Linked DNA regions of Mytilus edulis. The protein of the gene in region 2 purifies or fractionates together with the protein of the main gene of each other region. This does not show direct contact. Links are inferred from orthologs where the notes say so. Each region holds a gene or a part of one and is shown on either strand. Other genes may lie near its edges.

Region 1 (8,258 bases), on a different chromosome or scaffold from region 2:
ACAGACTTTTTTTCCTAGTTAATCAAGTCCATGTCCATGATTTTACTAGGAATATAAGTCCTAGGACAAATGTTCCTAGGAAAATAAGTCCATAGCTAGTAAATTATGTCTGGCAATTGTCCGAAGACTTGTTTTTCTTATAGTTTTATTATATCATATAAAAATATATTTAAAATAGATGAAAAAAATGTTAGATAAGATTGGAAAATTTCCTTATTTTTACATAAATTTTATTTAAAAAATTGATACACAACTCTTTAACAATATTAAAACATACAATGTATTACATTTATATTCACCTTTTAAAATTAAGGGCATGGACATTTTAACCTAGAACTATTAATGACATGGACATGATTTCCTAGGAAAATTAGTCTGGAGACAAATTTTATTGAACAGATTGATACACAACTTTTTCATTTTGTCTTTAGCAATATTAAAACATATTACATTCATATTCACCTTTTAAAATTAAGGGCATGGACATTTTAACTTAAGACTACATGTATTAAGGACATGGACATGATTTTCTTGGAAAATTAGTCTGGGGACATGAATTTTATCAAAAATATAACTATGCAACTCTTAAACATTACTAAGGCCACACCAATTCGATCCCTTGTTTGACGGACCCGCCCGCACCTATTTTTTTCAAAACAGAATTTTTTTATTTTTTTTATATTCCCGCTTCCCGCATCCGGAATTGTAATCATGTCCATTTCCCGCACCGTTTTTTGTTGTTGTAAATATTATAAAAAGATATCAACATTTGTTAAATCACAGTGAGTCTAACCTGTATATAACGATTTTAAACATAAAAGCACCCCACCACACTGTGTAAATATCTGTGAGAATATTTGTTTCAGCATGAAACCTGGAGTGCTCCGATAAAAAGTTATAACAGCGGGTATTTCCGTGAAGAACAAAAAATTGGTTTCTTTCCCCCTTACTTATATTCCCTATCAAAAAAATGTTCGTTGTTAGAATAAAGTACAAAGAACTTCTGAAGGATTTGCCTTCAACTGTAATTATATTGTATGCTGGCGAAACAAAACTATCCATAGTCGCTGCATGTTTATGCACCTGTCCTGATTGATTCAGGAGCATGGCGTTCAGCAGTTATCGTTTGTTGATGTTGTTCATTGGTATTATATAAATTAGATCGTTGGTTTTCCTGTTCGAATTGTGTACGCTAATAATTTTGGGGTCCTTTATAGCTTGCTGTTTGGTCTTTATCAAAGCCCTGTGTAAAAGGCCGTACTTTGACCTGTGTTTGTTATTATCAGGTTGAGAACAACCCTCCCTCAGACAAGGGGTCATTTTACTGATGTAGAAAAGAAAATAGTTCTTCTATACAAAACCTTTGAACACTTAGAATTTTGTACTCAAAAAGAGGAGAGTTACATCCTATTTTAAACATTTTTTCTAAAAGAGGGGTCCACTAATTTTGAATAATATTAAACTGTTAAAGTAAATGTGTTAACATGGTTAAAGTCCAGGAATATTTCTAAATTCTTGGACATGTTTTGACCATTTAATACCAGATAGATATATATTTCTATTAGAAAATATGAGCCCTTTTGTACAAACAAATATATTATAACTTATATTGATCCCTCATAAAACATGTAAAAGGGATATTTATAACATTAAGGGGTTGCCCCAAAACTGATTATGATTCGGATGGAGAATTGTCTCATTGTCAGTCACACATACATAGACCAGATTTAATTATTTCTTGGTGAACAGGGAAAAAATACTTCAGAAATTAAAGAAATGTCAAAGTACAAGTGATAAATCAAGTTTTAATATTGTCAAAACCTATTATTTTATGTTTACAAAAAAAAATTATAATCGCTCGCCTTTACTTTTCAAGCTTCGCCTCAAAAATTTGCAAATTAAATATTTTTTTATTAAAATTTTCAAATCGCTCGCTCACCCCAAATTTTGGAGTCCAAAAATCCGTAGAACAAGAAATTAAATTGGTGTGGCCTAAAACATAACATTTTAAATTTCCATGGTTTGAATGTACATGTAATTGAACTTATTATATGATTTTAAAGGACATGATTACCTAGGAAAATTAGTCTGGGGACATATATTACTAACATCGGACTAAATATACTAGTAAATTCTGTAACCATGGACTTTTTATACTACATGTAGTAATGTTTGTCCGCCCAGACATTTTTTACCAGGACAAATTTATCACTTACATAAACACGAAGTTCAAAAAAGTTCAAAACAATGTGGCTATGTTTTCATGAGACCCGGATAGCTTTAATTTTGTTATATGAATTAATTAGGAACTGAAATTGTCAACATTGTTTTTATTGCACACTAATTGTTTTTATCAGGATTATATAATCTGACAAAGGCATCATTTTTTTTTTAAATAGCCCTTATTACATGTATCTGTTAACCTTTGACACATTGTTTTCTTAGTGGTCAAGTAAATTGTCGGCCACTTTAATTTTCAACTATTTCTGGCAACACTTACATATTGACAATTTATTAATATTTTTTCGTAAACAATATCGATTATTTTGCATATAAACTAATTAATTTAATAATTATTCTTTATTTCGAATCCCCCAATTTTAATAGTTTTCTATCGGCTGACTTGTTTACTTGTTCCAAATGCTAATTTACTACGTGACACGATAAGCTGTCATCAAAACAAAAAATCAGTAATCCCGCTTTTCGGGGCATTTAAATCTTAACAGATTGATCAGTTTCCAGTCCCGTTAGTATAAAATTATAAATAGTCCTAGCTGATGCTGATAAATTATTTTTGCTACTCTAGTTCTCCCTATTTGAGTTTTTTTTAATTTTACACTTCATTCTTCATCTATACTTAATCTATTATGGTATTTTTCTAACAAGTAGGATTTTGATAATTAAGACGTAAAGCATTACTTCATGATTCAACTTTTTAAACAAATGTTGCTGATCATGCCGATTTGTTTTCACCGGAAGTAGTTTTCGGATCTAAATAACTACCTATGTATGTATGTACTGGTAAATGCCTCCGATATCCGAAGAACCCCTCGAAAGCTGCGAGGGTACAGTGGCATCCATGTACACTCCCTAACGGGATTAATGGAGATGTGTCACTAACGTATATTTATACGACAATTATTTTTACAAGGACAACCAATCCCCACCCAATTCAACACAAAGGGAGTGCTAGGACACCGGGAAGTCTGTTATTGTGGTGGAGGAAGCCGAAGTACTCGGAGAGAACCACCGGGCCACTCGGTGGAAACAGACAAACCAGAGAGATATCAGAAGATTGATCTCCAGGTCAAAGTAGGGACACTTTGACCAACCGAGGCCCCCAACGTACCCATTCTAGTTTAAACTCCGGTCTGGGTACCAGAGATGTGTGTGAGAGGGTGAAAATTACCCTTCTAATGTACTGAGATTTTTAGCACCCCGAGTGAGAATCGAACTCGGGACCTTCAGCACTGTAGCCATCGGTCTTAACCACTAGACCACGAACTCACACAAAATACATCCTTTGTTAACAATATAAGGCTGCTGCGGTCATAGAGTGTTGTCAGCGACGTCCGCGTTGTGGCATTTGTTGCATCCGGCTGTGGTCTGTAGTACTTTTCGTTGTGTTTAATGAACTCGTTTAAGGTTCATCATAAGGAATTGAAAAATATGGCCGTGTTTACACTTCCAAAATTACTATGAGTACAGACAAACTGGTACATCCAGGAAAGTTTTAAGGCATGGCAGGAACTAGATATATAAAAGTTATATGAAGTCTACGTTTCAGAAAATTAAAAACTTACCTGGATTTTGATGTTCATTTTTTTCCAGTCTGCAGAAGATAGCAAAATAAACAAACACCCGAGTTTCATTTGATACGGTCCACTCAGATACACAGTTTAAACCTGTTAAATAACCTATTGTTTACAGGTGTCTATTGTCAATTTAAATCAATACTACTCACAACATTGATAATATGAGGGGAGCTTCTCAATCGTTTTCACTACTTAGTTAATTTTTGCACCTTCTGCAGGAACGAAAAAAAATGGATAGCAAAATCTAGAAAAGTTTATAATTTTCTGAAACATAAAATGCATTTAAAATTTATATATCTAGTTCCTGCCATCCCTTAAAACTGTTGCAGGTGTATAGGTTAGTCTGTACTCAGAGTAAAATTTGGGGTGTAAATACGGCCATTTTAGCCAAAAGGTTATGATGAACCTTAATTGATGAAATTAGTTGCATGTTACTGACAAAAATATATCGCAAATAATTTTAATTATGTAGAAGGGGAATTCCATTTTAAGATTGAGTCGATTCTATTTATATCTTCAGGGGGAAATGGTTGGATAATAGTTCATTGTTTTCTCGGAAATTTTAAGACGCATGATTGAATGGGAATGCATGGACATCAAAGATAAGGTAACACCATAGATGTAATATCTATGGTAACACTAATATATTTCTAGATTTTTATTAGTGTAAAAAATGAAGTTTCATTTCTTGCCATATCAATTTTGACTGTGTATACTGCATGAGTGGGTCGTCCAAAATGAACGACTGGAGCAACACAGAAAAACGTTGACTATTACTGGAAAATTATGTATTTTTAAACAACAGTGAATACTGTGGGTACTAAATGTATTATATAATCTAAAAAAAAAAATGACTTATTGAACAGTTCATAAATGGGGTCAAAGTCCATTTACTTGAATTAATTCGAGAAATATGCGGAAGTAAGTCAATTCAAAGGCGGATCTAGAGGGCCCTTGGGGGCCTGGGGCCCCTTTTCATTGGAAAATTTGGTTGATTATTTATATATGGAATCAATCAATCAATCATGACTGGAGCGGACCAACCCAGGTCATTCAGCGACCCCTTTTTATAAAAAGTTCTGGATCCCGGCGCCACTGTTAGCAAACAACACGATTCATTTTAATCTTGTTGAATAATGTTGATGTGATAACGTTTGCTTTGTGGTCTCCAGTATCATTTTTCCCTAATGTGACCTACCGAATTAGAATTATTACCGGGTTTGTACCGTGACATGAGCCACAAGTGAAACAGGATCAATTTACCCTTCCGGAGCACCTGGGATCACATAAAGTTTTTTTCGGGATTCCTGTTGCTGTCTTTAGTTTTCTATGTTGTGTGTTGTGTTTTGTGTACTATTGTTTGTCTGTTGATATTTTACTTTTTTAAGCTATGGCATTGTCAGTTTATTTTCGACTGACGAGTTTAAATGTCCCTCCTGTATCTTTCGCATCTCATTTTAATATAATTCAAACCTTATACTTAGCTATGCATTGACTGCTCTACTTATTTGTACAGAAATTTGTTTGCTGAAACTGAAATAATAAATAAAATAAATATACATGCAAGTTTATGCTCTCATTTTAGGTAATGTGATATTAACCTGGACATGATTTGATAACCATGCGGCAATGACAGAACTTTCACATTACGTGTGACCAATGTTACCTAAGCCTGTAACTCTCATTCCACAAATGTCCTACAATTAACTACCATGAGTAAAAGTAAGTAAACTTTGTTGTTATTTATTATACATATCATATGTGAATCATTTTAGTTAACGCACAAAATAAACCAAGTCAAATCTTAATTACCTATAAATATGATGTATTCACAGAAATAAATGAACTGTGAAGTATATATTAACGTCAATGAGACAAAACTAACTACGAAACTAACTACAAACAGTTTTACCAAAAGGGAAATTCTTATTTGGAAAAGGATTATACGACCTGAAAAGCACAGTAAATGTTTTGTTATAGTTTTTTCGAGATACACTTTACCAGGCTTTATTATCGTTTTGATGAAGACCAACTGGGCTCCTTTTGTCGCAGGTTGTTCCTTTGCTGTTATGAATGACTTTTTAATTGTCGAGTTTAAGCTATGTCTAGTTGTATTTGTTCCTGTCTAACAGAAATTCGCCTGGAAACTTTGTTATAAACAATGCCATAATATGTGTTCCGCTTGGAACAAACATCCTAAACCCTTTTTAACTCACCTGGAATAAAAGGTCAATCAATCACCTCTAAATACTTAGCGCCCGTCGATCTTCGATTGACACCCGTCGTTCTTCGACCGACGGTCCGTCCCCAATCGTCGTCTTGTCCTTCATCCGTCGTCCGTTGTCATCTGTTTACTTTTATAGAAATCTTCTCTAAATCTATTGGACTATATTTAATAAACTTAACCCCAATCATCACTTGGGTATATAGTTTAAAAAAATGTGTCCAATGATCAATGGCCTTCCAACCAAAATGGCCTACATGGCTTAAAATAGAAATAGGCGTCAAATATAAGTTTGACTATTACTTTTAAAACCGCTATAGGTAATGAAAATCTAGCAGGGAAAACATGTTCAGAATGTTGAGCTACATTTATTTTCGTGTGTGTCGAAACTGTGAAACGTCTTCTTATAAGAGTTCTTGCCCTCAAATGATGTATTTTACTATTTTAAAAAATGTTCGTTATTTAACTCGGCAATTATAGAGATTATGACCAGCAAGACAAGATCTACAAACAAGTCAAACGTGGCCAAATCTTCAGTCGACACCTTATTGTCTAATCAGTTATTGCCCTATAATAACGATTTTTGCCTAATTTCTAACTATTAAAGAAAGATAGACACTTTTAAAAAGAAAAAAAAAACAGCAAGATAATAGTTATCAAAGGTACCAGGATTATAATTTAATACGCAGACGCGCGTTTCGTCTACACAAGACTCATCAGTCACGCTCAGATCAAAATAATTATAAAGCCAAACAAGTACAAAGTGCATTTGAGGACTACTAAACAGGATCATGACTTGCAGATTAGAGGAATTTCGTTTTCGTGACAGCTTCACATAAACTCAACGGAAACGCAGCTTGAAAGATGTTATCATATTCTGAAGACACACTCTTCATGTAAAACGCAGATGAAATTAAAAAAAATGAAATATACCGACACCTTATATACATTATTGCCCTTCAACTTTTTGAATTTAAACATTCCCGATGAAGGTAAACCCAGAAAGGTGACACGCACTTAATTTTTATACGACTGCAAAATGTTTGCGTTCGTATATTATGACGATTTATACTGCACTCGTTCTATTTGAGCAGTCATAATGCGTTGACTGTATATTTCTATGTCATATACAGTCACTGACCCGCTATCACTTTTCCTCACGAATATTTAAATAGAAGTTGCCGAAATAATATTTAATTATTCATACGACCTCTTCAACCTGTTCTTGTTTCCCATGCATACAACTATGCATGGAACGACTCAACCTTGTTTCTTTTGCAATTATTGGAAAAACATATTTCATTTGTTAATAATTTTTGTTTGCAACCTATAAATCATTATGTTTTATGCTTATGGTTGATATTTTAGTCCATACTCAAACGATTTCGTTCACCATCGAGTGTGGGTTTCAACAGGTAAATGTACATTTCATTGCGTTGTATATTTCTCCACGAGCATGATATGAGGCCTTTCTAAAGGGGATTTCCCCAAATATTTAAATAAATAAATAACCTTAACGCATTAAACAAATTAAAATGTTTTTCTAGATTGCAGTATAAAGACAATAATAGTACATTGGCTAGAAACATCAACGATATAAGGATTCGGCCCGAAACGGGGAAATAGCTCGGCAGAGCATCGCATTTCCCCGTTTCTAAGCCTCATCCTTATATCGTTGGTATGTCAAGTCAATGCACTATTATTGTCTATATAAGTGTATGGATCTCTTTGAAATTTTGCTAGAAATATCAACGATATAAGGATTCGGCCCGAAACGGGGAAATAGCTCGGCAGAGCATCGCATTTCCCCGTTTCTAAGCTGCATCCTTATATCGTTGATATGTCAGGGCAATGCACTATATTATTGTCTATGTCTGTGTCGTCGTTGGAAGACATTTTGTTTTGCAGACAATAACATGAGTATAAGTGTATTGATCTCTAAGAAATTTTAGCCGACAAAGTTCCATACCACAATATAGGAAGGTTTGAATTTTTTATTTGTCTTTGTTGTAGGGGCCATGAAAGGAATAACAAACAAACATTTTTTTCTGGTTCGGAGACAATAACTTGAGTATGCGTATATTGAATTTGGGAGTTTTTGTCGTAGCTTTTTAATCAATGGCAAAAAAGGGGCAAAAAGTAGCAATTTTCTGGTTCACAGACTATAATTTGAAAACAAATATATGGATGTATGGATCTCTAGGCAATTTGACCACAAA
Region 2 (7,665 bases):
AGGTTTTGACAAAGTCCATTATAATTAAGTCTATTTGAGTGTTGTTGTTATCATTTGCTGCAAGTTCTTGGATGAATGAAATGAGTTGAGTTTCGCAAGATCTAGACTGACGGAAGCCATGCTGGATGTCATACAGTATATTGTTCGTTTCAAGATGGTTGATGATTTGTTTAGTGATGATATGCTCCATAAGTTTACAGAAAATACATGTCAATGATATAGGACGGTAATTTTCTGGTTTATATTTTCCCCCTTTTTTAAGTACTGGTGCTACGTTGGCGTGTTTCCAGTCTGATGGTATAAAGCAAGTTTCAAGTGATGTTTTGAAGATAAGTGTAAGAATTGGAGCTGTTTGGTCATTGAGTTCTTTAAGTATTCTGCCTCTGATATTGTCTGGGCCGGTTGCCTTTTGTGGGTTTATAGTGTGTAGGAGTTTCTTGACACCAGGTTAAGATATTTCGAGTGGTGTTATCACAGGATGTGAAAGGAAAAGAGGGACGAAAGATACCAAATGGACAGTCAAACTCATAAATCTAAAACAAACTGACAACGACATGGCTAAAAATGAAAAAGACAAACAGAAAAAACAATAGTACACATGACACAACATAGAAAACTAAAGAATAAACAACACGAACCCCACCAAAAACTAGGGGTGATCTCAGGTGCTCCGGAAGGGTAAGCAGATCCTGCTCCACATGTGGCACCCGTCGTGTTGCTTATGTGATTACAAATCCGGTAAATAGTCTAATTCGGTAGGTCACATTCATGAAAGGGAAGGGGATTGTAGCTACGACGTAAAGAACATATCCGATATCATTTGTGAACCGGTTATTCCATAACGGTCAACCAACTCGTGATGGCGTCCGTAAAATTTACGAAGGGATGATTTCAACTTCACCATTTGGAACTCTTGGTTTAATAGCTTTCTTGTGAGCAGTAACCCTCTATCAAGAAAATCATGATAGGAAATGCAAGCACGGGAATATCGTATCAATTGGGAGATATATACCCCGTATGCAGGTGCTGCTTGAATGTGGCTACTTAGAAATGGAAAGTTCACAATTGGAAAGTTGAAATCATCTCTTTTGTCGTAAAGTTTTGTTTTCAACCGACCCTCATTGTCAATTTCTAGATGTAAGTCAAGATATGAAGCCGACTTAACTGTATCTGTAGTATCCTTTATCTCCAATTCGATGAGATAGATGCGTTCCACATAGTCACCAACTTTTGAATTGTTTAGTGAAAGAACGTCATCTAAATAGCGGAAAGTAGAGTTAAAGGATATTGCTAACTTCTTATCTTTCTTCCTAAGAAGTTCCTGCATGAAGTCAGCCTCATAATAATAAAGAAACAAGTCGGCAAGTAGAGGGGCACAGTTTGTTCCCATTGGGATGCCGACAGTCTGTTGAAAAATACGTCCTCCGAACGTTACAAACATGTTGTCAATCAAGAAATCAAGCATCTTGATAATATCGGTTTCAGAGAATTTTATTGTTTGAATCAGAGTGATTCTTTACAAAGTATGATTTATCCCTCCCTAAGACAAGATACTTGTATCTACGTTGGCCATTCTTTTTTATGAAGCAAAGTAATACCAAATCTTTCAATTTGTCTTTTAGTTTGGAATGTGGAATACTTGTGTAAAGAGTAGAAAAGTCAAATGTTTTAATACTGTTACAAGATGAAAGAGAGTTAGATTGTATGTACTCTAAAAGATCTTTGGAATTTTTAAGTATCCACATCTGATTCCCGCCACCTCTAGAATAGGCAGTTTCACAATAACTTTGAAGCTCGTCTTTGATTGCTGATAAAATAGATGTTAATAATTTAGAAAGAGGTTTCGTGGAGCACTTGGAAGACCCAGCAATATACCGTTGTTTGTAAGGACACTTATGTAGTTTAGGTATCCAATACAGTGATGGAAGATCCAGTTCTTCATCTTTGGTTGAAATACCAAAGGAACAAAGAACAGACCTATGATTATCCAGGATTTCCTCTTTGGTAATTGTCGTGAGGGTATATGTTGAGTTTCCAAGTGAATTGTCTATACCTAATTCGTTTATCAAGCAATTAATGTAGTGACTTTTACAGACAAAAACGATGTTATTTGGGGCTTTGTCTGCGGGGACAACAACATATTTATCATGGAGGTCGGATAAGTGTTTAGCAACATTTGGGTCTTTAAAGATTGACGTAGCATGGGCATTGGTGGACCCATTCAGTTTCTTGATTCTAATTTGTATTAACGACCTCACTGCCTTAATCCATTCGGATAGAGTGTCTACGTCTTCCTTTTCACGTTTAGCCCATTGCCTGGCATAATCCTCGACTGAGTCCATCAAAATTTTAAAGTTGTATTTCCAATTGATGGATTTAGGCTCACGATATTTCGGACCTTTCGATAACACATTTCGTAGAGAAGTGTTATTAGCAATGTTAAGGTCACCGGTAATAACGTGGCCAGCAGGATTATATATGAATTGGGAACTAGCACAAGTGCAATCAGGAGGTTTAGACTTGAAGTCGTCAATATCAAGATTCTGCAAAACGCGTTTGTAATTGAAAATTTTAGTTGCAATAGGTTTGGTATAGGTATAAGAAATTATTGGTACAGACTAGTCTTTGAAATAAGGAGGTATTTTCGATTGAACTAATTTATGATGAAGGATATTGCCTAGGTTGACGCCATCGAGACCTTTGTTGGCAAAGGAAAGATTTAGAAAAGATTTTTTCTCTTTTTCATCTTTTCCAATGCGAACTGGCTTGAAAAGTCTGTGACTTGCAATATCCGAAATTATAGCTTGAAGTTTGTATTGGTTTGAATGAGGGTTTGTAACAGTGGATTCCAAACATAAATTGAACAGAGAATGAAGTTTTGAAAGGGGTAATGAATAAAGTTTCGTGCGAATGTGATGAATACCTAACGGCTTTTGTATGAATGACAGCAAGTCATTAATAGAGACATCATGCAGGGAAGGTGATGTATAATGACGATGACCATGACTGCGTCTACGTCGAGGAGTCGAGTTGAAAATATTCATCACATTCACCGAGTTACACGAAGGACTAGATAGAATACCTATACCATCAATTTTGTCATTGCAGCCATACGGTGTTGCAGTTCCCAATTGTCTAATCCAGTAGTCTTCTTTTTGTCTACGGAGAGTCGTTGAAATATTAGGATTGTTAGAGCTATGGTATATCTTTTCGATAATGCGAACTGTCATAGAAACGATGGAATGATCGGGCTGATTGAAATGCTGGTATAGAATGTCGTTAGCATTGAGGTTAATGTCTGATCTATGACCGCACATACGTTTGTTTAGCCTTCCTTTCGTTTCACCGACGTATACCAATCCGCAAAGGTTGCACAAAGGTGTGAGCTAGGACCTTTGTCTGGAATGGTGTTATTTGATTCAGTTGTAAACACTGATTGGAATTGTGTGTTGAGGATGTCTGCCTTTTGCTTTGTATCATCTATTAACTGTCCTTTTTTTAGTGGTGCGACACCGTTGTTATCTGTGCTCAGTGATTTAATAAAGGAAAATAGCTTTTTAGGTTTAGATTGATTGTTGCACTGTTGGTCTGGTTCATTTATGGGTAGGTCTAATATCATTTTTTCAATATAACCCCAGTATGCAGTTCTTTGTTCTTTTTGTACTTGTTTTCTCAGACGTCGGTACTTTTCAGCATACCTGGTGTCTTGTTTCATTTTATGATATAGCTTGTTTTTTTCTATTTATCATTTTCCTTAAATTGTTGTGAATCCAAGGTAGTCTATTTTTGTATGTTAGGAACTTATGAGGAATGTTGTTTTCCACCGATTTTGTAAGGTTTGTTTTAAATGTGTCAACTTCCACATGTCATTTACATTTGTTTTGTCCTCTAGGTTTAGTAGATCTTTGTATGTTTTTTCTAGATCTGATTTGATGTTACTCCAGTTAGATTTGTTGTATTTCAATATTTTTCTAGGTTTTTCTCTCACCCTGCGCAACCAAATGTCAGATTCTACATAAACAATGTCGTGGTCACTAAGGCCTATTGGTGGTAGTGTACTAACCTTGTTAATGTTGGATGGATTATTGACTAGTACTAAATCTAAAAAAAAATCTTTCCGTGTTGTTATGTTCACTATAATTTGATGAAAGTTTCTATCGATAATTTTTATAGCACTCTACTGTGCTGAGAAAGGAAATCATCAGTCAGTGAGATCAAAGCAACATTTCGTAAATTAGCTACAAATACATTTCTAACGACAAAACATATCATTTATCTATATGTTTAACTTAACAAATATTTTCGGTTATCAATAAAAAGCGCAAGGAAATACCTGAGGCAACATATATAACATCGCTATAACCTCTCAGTGTTATCAGTGAGGGCTCAGCCAATGCAAAAATATCTTGATACATTAAGTATTTATACGTTTTCCTAAAATTCAAATCATATACTGAAAGAGTTGTTCATGAATAATATCGCTAAGCCGCGCGCGATCTCTACCAGGAACGGTCGAAAATTACGTCATCGATCAATCAGTTTAAACTGAGACGTAATAGCAGACGAAGCATTGTACCATATAGGAAATTTAAGGGAAGTTGCACGAATTCGGAAGTTGTGTGTTACGGATATTTTCATGAAAAGATACAGATAAATGCCATATATAGTACAATCCACTTCAATCAGTGAATATTCTACGACGATCGAGCATTTGTATATTTACAAAGCCTTGTGACGACACAGTATAGCGGTACGGCAAAATAATGTGCTCCTCTTAACGGAGGAAGTTAGAGGTTTCTATTTGGACACAGGTCAAAGCGTTCTGTTAGTTTCTTTCCCCTGTCCACAATAAACGCATACTTTTTTTCAAAATAAATAATTTTTCGAGGTTTATGTGAAAGGTATGCAGAAAACTGGACAGTCTTTACAGGTAAGTTTACAGATGAAAAGAATAATGCTACAGTACCCAATATTCACCCAATGTGAAAGCAACGTAAATCTAGATTTTCAACTCTTTTTTTCCGTCGTCTTCTCTCATTCTCCGTCTACAAGTCTAGTGTACTTATAACATTCTTTTAAAGAATCCAGTCCTTAGCATGGAAGAAGAAAAAGAAGAAGAAATTATCATGATTATGTCCAAGAGAGGATTATCTACAATAGAGATTACCCTGTCATCACGACAAAGATTGAAGATTATGTCTCAAAATGCATAAAAAACACACCGAACAAATATGACTAATATTATCCTAAGATGATACTTTCCATTGACCTAAGTGCTATTTGTCTGCCATTACTGGAAGTCACAACAGATGTACCCATTCCAGTTTAAATTTTGGTCTGGGGACAGAGATGTGTGTGGGAGGGTAAAAATCACCCTTCTGATGTACTGACAGGGGCGTAGCTAGCTATTCATTCAACTGTAGTCACAAATCGGCAGGGGGTCTGGAGGCCACTTATGAATTATGGGTAATAAGTAGCATTTAACCATTGGTTAAGTAACTTATCCAGTGGCTTACTAACCATGCTAACCAGACTCCCATTTAACCATGGAGCAATGGAAAAATAGCCAACGGATAGTAAGCCACTGGATAACATAATTAGCCGTTGGATAAGCTAACCAATGGTTAAATTTAGCCATAGATTTGAGCAACCCAGTCCAGGTAGGGGGTTCAGGGGGGGGCGAAACCCCCTGACTGAAAATGGTTTTCAGCGTTTTAGCTGCAAAATTTTATGTACTAAAATATTAAATTTACTGGTTATTTAATCATGATAATTATAAAATACATGATGAAAATTTCGTAGAATTATGAATAATGTACCATAACATCTGACTGGTGAAAATTTTTAAATAACACAGTACAATCCGTAATATAAAGAAAAATATTTACAATATGCATTGCCCAGCGTAGATCAGCGTATCCCTTTAATTTTAGCAGTACACCCTGTTTTGTATTATCATATCTATTCCGTTCTGATTGATATATACGTTAACTTAATTAATAGTACATATTGACGATCCTTCATTAAAAAAGATAGGCATGTAAACACTGATACTACAAATGTACTATATAATAGAACTATCCTTTTGGCTAGACATCAACCATCAATCTTTTGAATCTTAAACCTTCACCCTAAGGCCTAACAAAATTCAAATTTCTTTATATATCCTCTTCTGTAAAATCCCTACCTGCTTAGGAATTTTGAATAATTGTGGCCATTACACGCAGATTTGAGAGTACTCAAAATTACTGGAAGCCAGTTGATTGATTGATTTGTTTACATCCAGTGTCAAATATTTATGCAATTTCAGGACCGTTGAATTTTCTTTTTGCAATAAATACAACTTGGAGCTAGGTCCTGTAATAGGTGTCATCCAGGACGAAGGTCTGGAAATTTAAAAATACCATGCATTGGAAAATGAGGGATTATTGGATAGGAGCAGAAGTTTTGCCTTTCAGTAGACCAACTACGAACTCCTTAAATAGTTGCATTCTCTCTACAACTAGGCATCTGATTTAATGTTCCCATTCTGACCAGATGTGACTGCGTATTTATACATCCTGCACACCCAAACAGATGACCAACATTGGCATTTCGGGTGAAGACAATGTGGTAAACTATTTGAAAACTGACAACAACTAATTAAAAAACTCATGTGTCTAAGTTAAGGTTCATTCAAGTTTTTGTTGATAGAAGTGAAATGATCTGAGCAAAGTTATAGTTTTAACATGTTTAATATAGTTTTTATATAATGTAAAATCGTAAAAACATTAAATTCTATCTCATATTCCATTCACTCAAGGAGGAGAGACTAGTGTACACATGACATTGGATAATTTAAGAGTTTTGACAACTTCACCAGCTTTCATCTACAGATAATGTTGTTTATTATTTTTTTTTGATAAAAAAATATAAATGTGAAAAAATTATGTGTAGGCACGTGCCTAAAGTGCCTAACGGCAGCTACCCACCCCCCTGACTGATAGTTTGAGCTCCCAGAGTCAAAATCAAACTCAGAACCCTAAGCACAGTAGACATCTGTATATCAACCTCTTAGACCACAAACCCACACTAAAAGTGCTACAACCTTTTCATCCTCCACATACATTTGTACACCTTATCGCTATCTACTGGACATCACACAGGTTCCCGTAAAATTTTAACGTCATATAAGACATAATACAAAATATCTGAAACCACAATGGAAAAGTGATTGTTGTATGATGTCAATAGTTCAAGCAGGACAGATTCTCAGGTCCACCTGGAACAGTCAGAGCTCAGACATAAATAAGTCTGAATCTGCTTTTGACTCATAGAGGTCTAAATTTGTAAGTTTTAGGATTAGTCTCCCCTTAATGCAAGACAAAATATGACTTTAATAAGTCAAATCTTGTTAAGCAAGAAATAATTGACCACAATCAAAAAGTTGCATATATCGACTCCTACAAGTCGATAAGTGATCAAAATTGGTTAACTTCAAGACCCACGCATATTTATAAGGAGGTCATGCATCTAAATCAAATAATGACAACATTGAAAGACAATGCTTTGTCTTCTAAAGAAAAATATGAATGAGAGACTAAAAAATCGGAGATAATGTTAATTAACCTTACAATGCAACCACCTGGAACTACACTTAATGAGGAAAAACATCTGTGTTTAGTA

The links.
Region 1: the proteins of cyclin-H-like (region 2) and general transcription and DNA repair factor IIH helicase subunit XPD-like purify together in Homo sapiens (affinity purification with mass spectrometry; 3 studies listed by BioGRID and IntAct, counting the BioPlex papers as one, with this or other methods). This does not show direct contact. The link is inferred for Mytilus edulis from reciprocal best matches to the Homo sapiens genes CCNH and ERCC2.

The regions. Positions count from the first base shown.
Region 1 is NC_092346.1:11,156,393-11,164,650, reverse strand, and holds the start of general transcription and DNA repair factor IIH helicase subunit XPD-like, read right to left. Parts: upstream 3,004-8,258; 5' UTR 2,925-3,003; coding exon 2,920-2,924; exon of another isoform or gene 2,802-2,919; intron 1-2,801. UniProt on the Homo sapiens protein: ATP-dependent 5'-3' DNA helicase. Component of the general transcription and DNA repair factor IIH (TFIIH) core complex, not absolutely essential for minimal transcription in vitro.
Region 2 is NC_092345.1:45,276,510-45,284,174, reverse strand, and holds the start of cyclin-H-like, read left to right. Parts: upstream 1-4,555; 5' UTR 4,556-4,750; exon of another isoform or gene 4,751-4,930; intron 4,931-7,665. UniProt on the Homo sapiens protein: Regulates CDK7, the catalytic subunit of the CDK-activating kinase (CAK) enzymatic complex. CAK activates the cyclin-associated kinases CDK1, CDK2, CDK4 and CDK6 by threonine phosphorylation.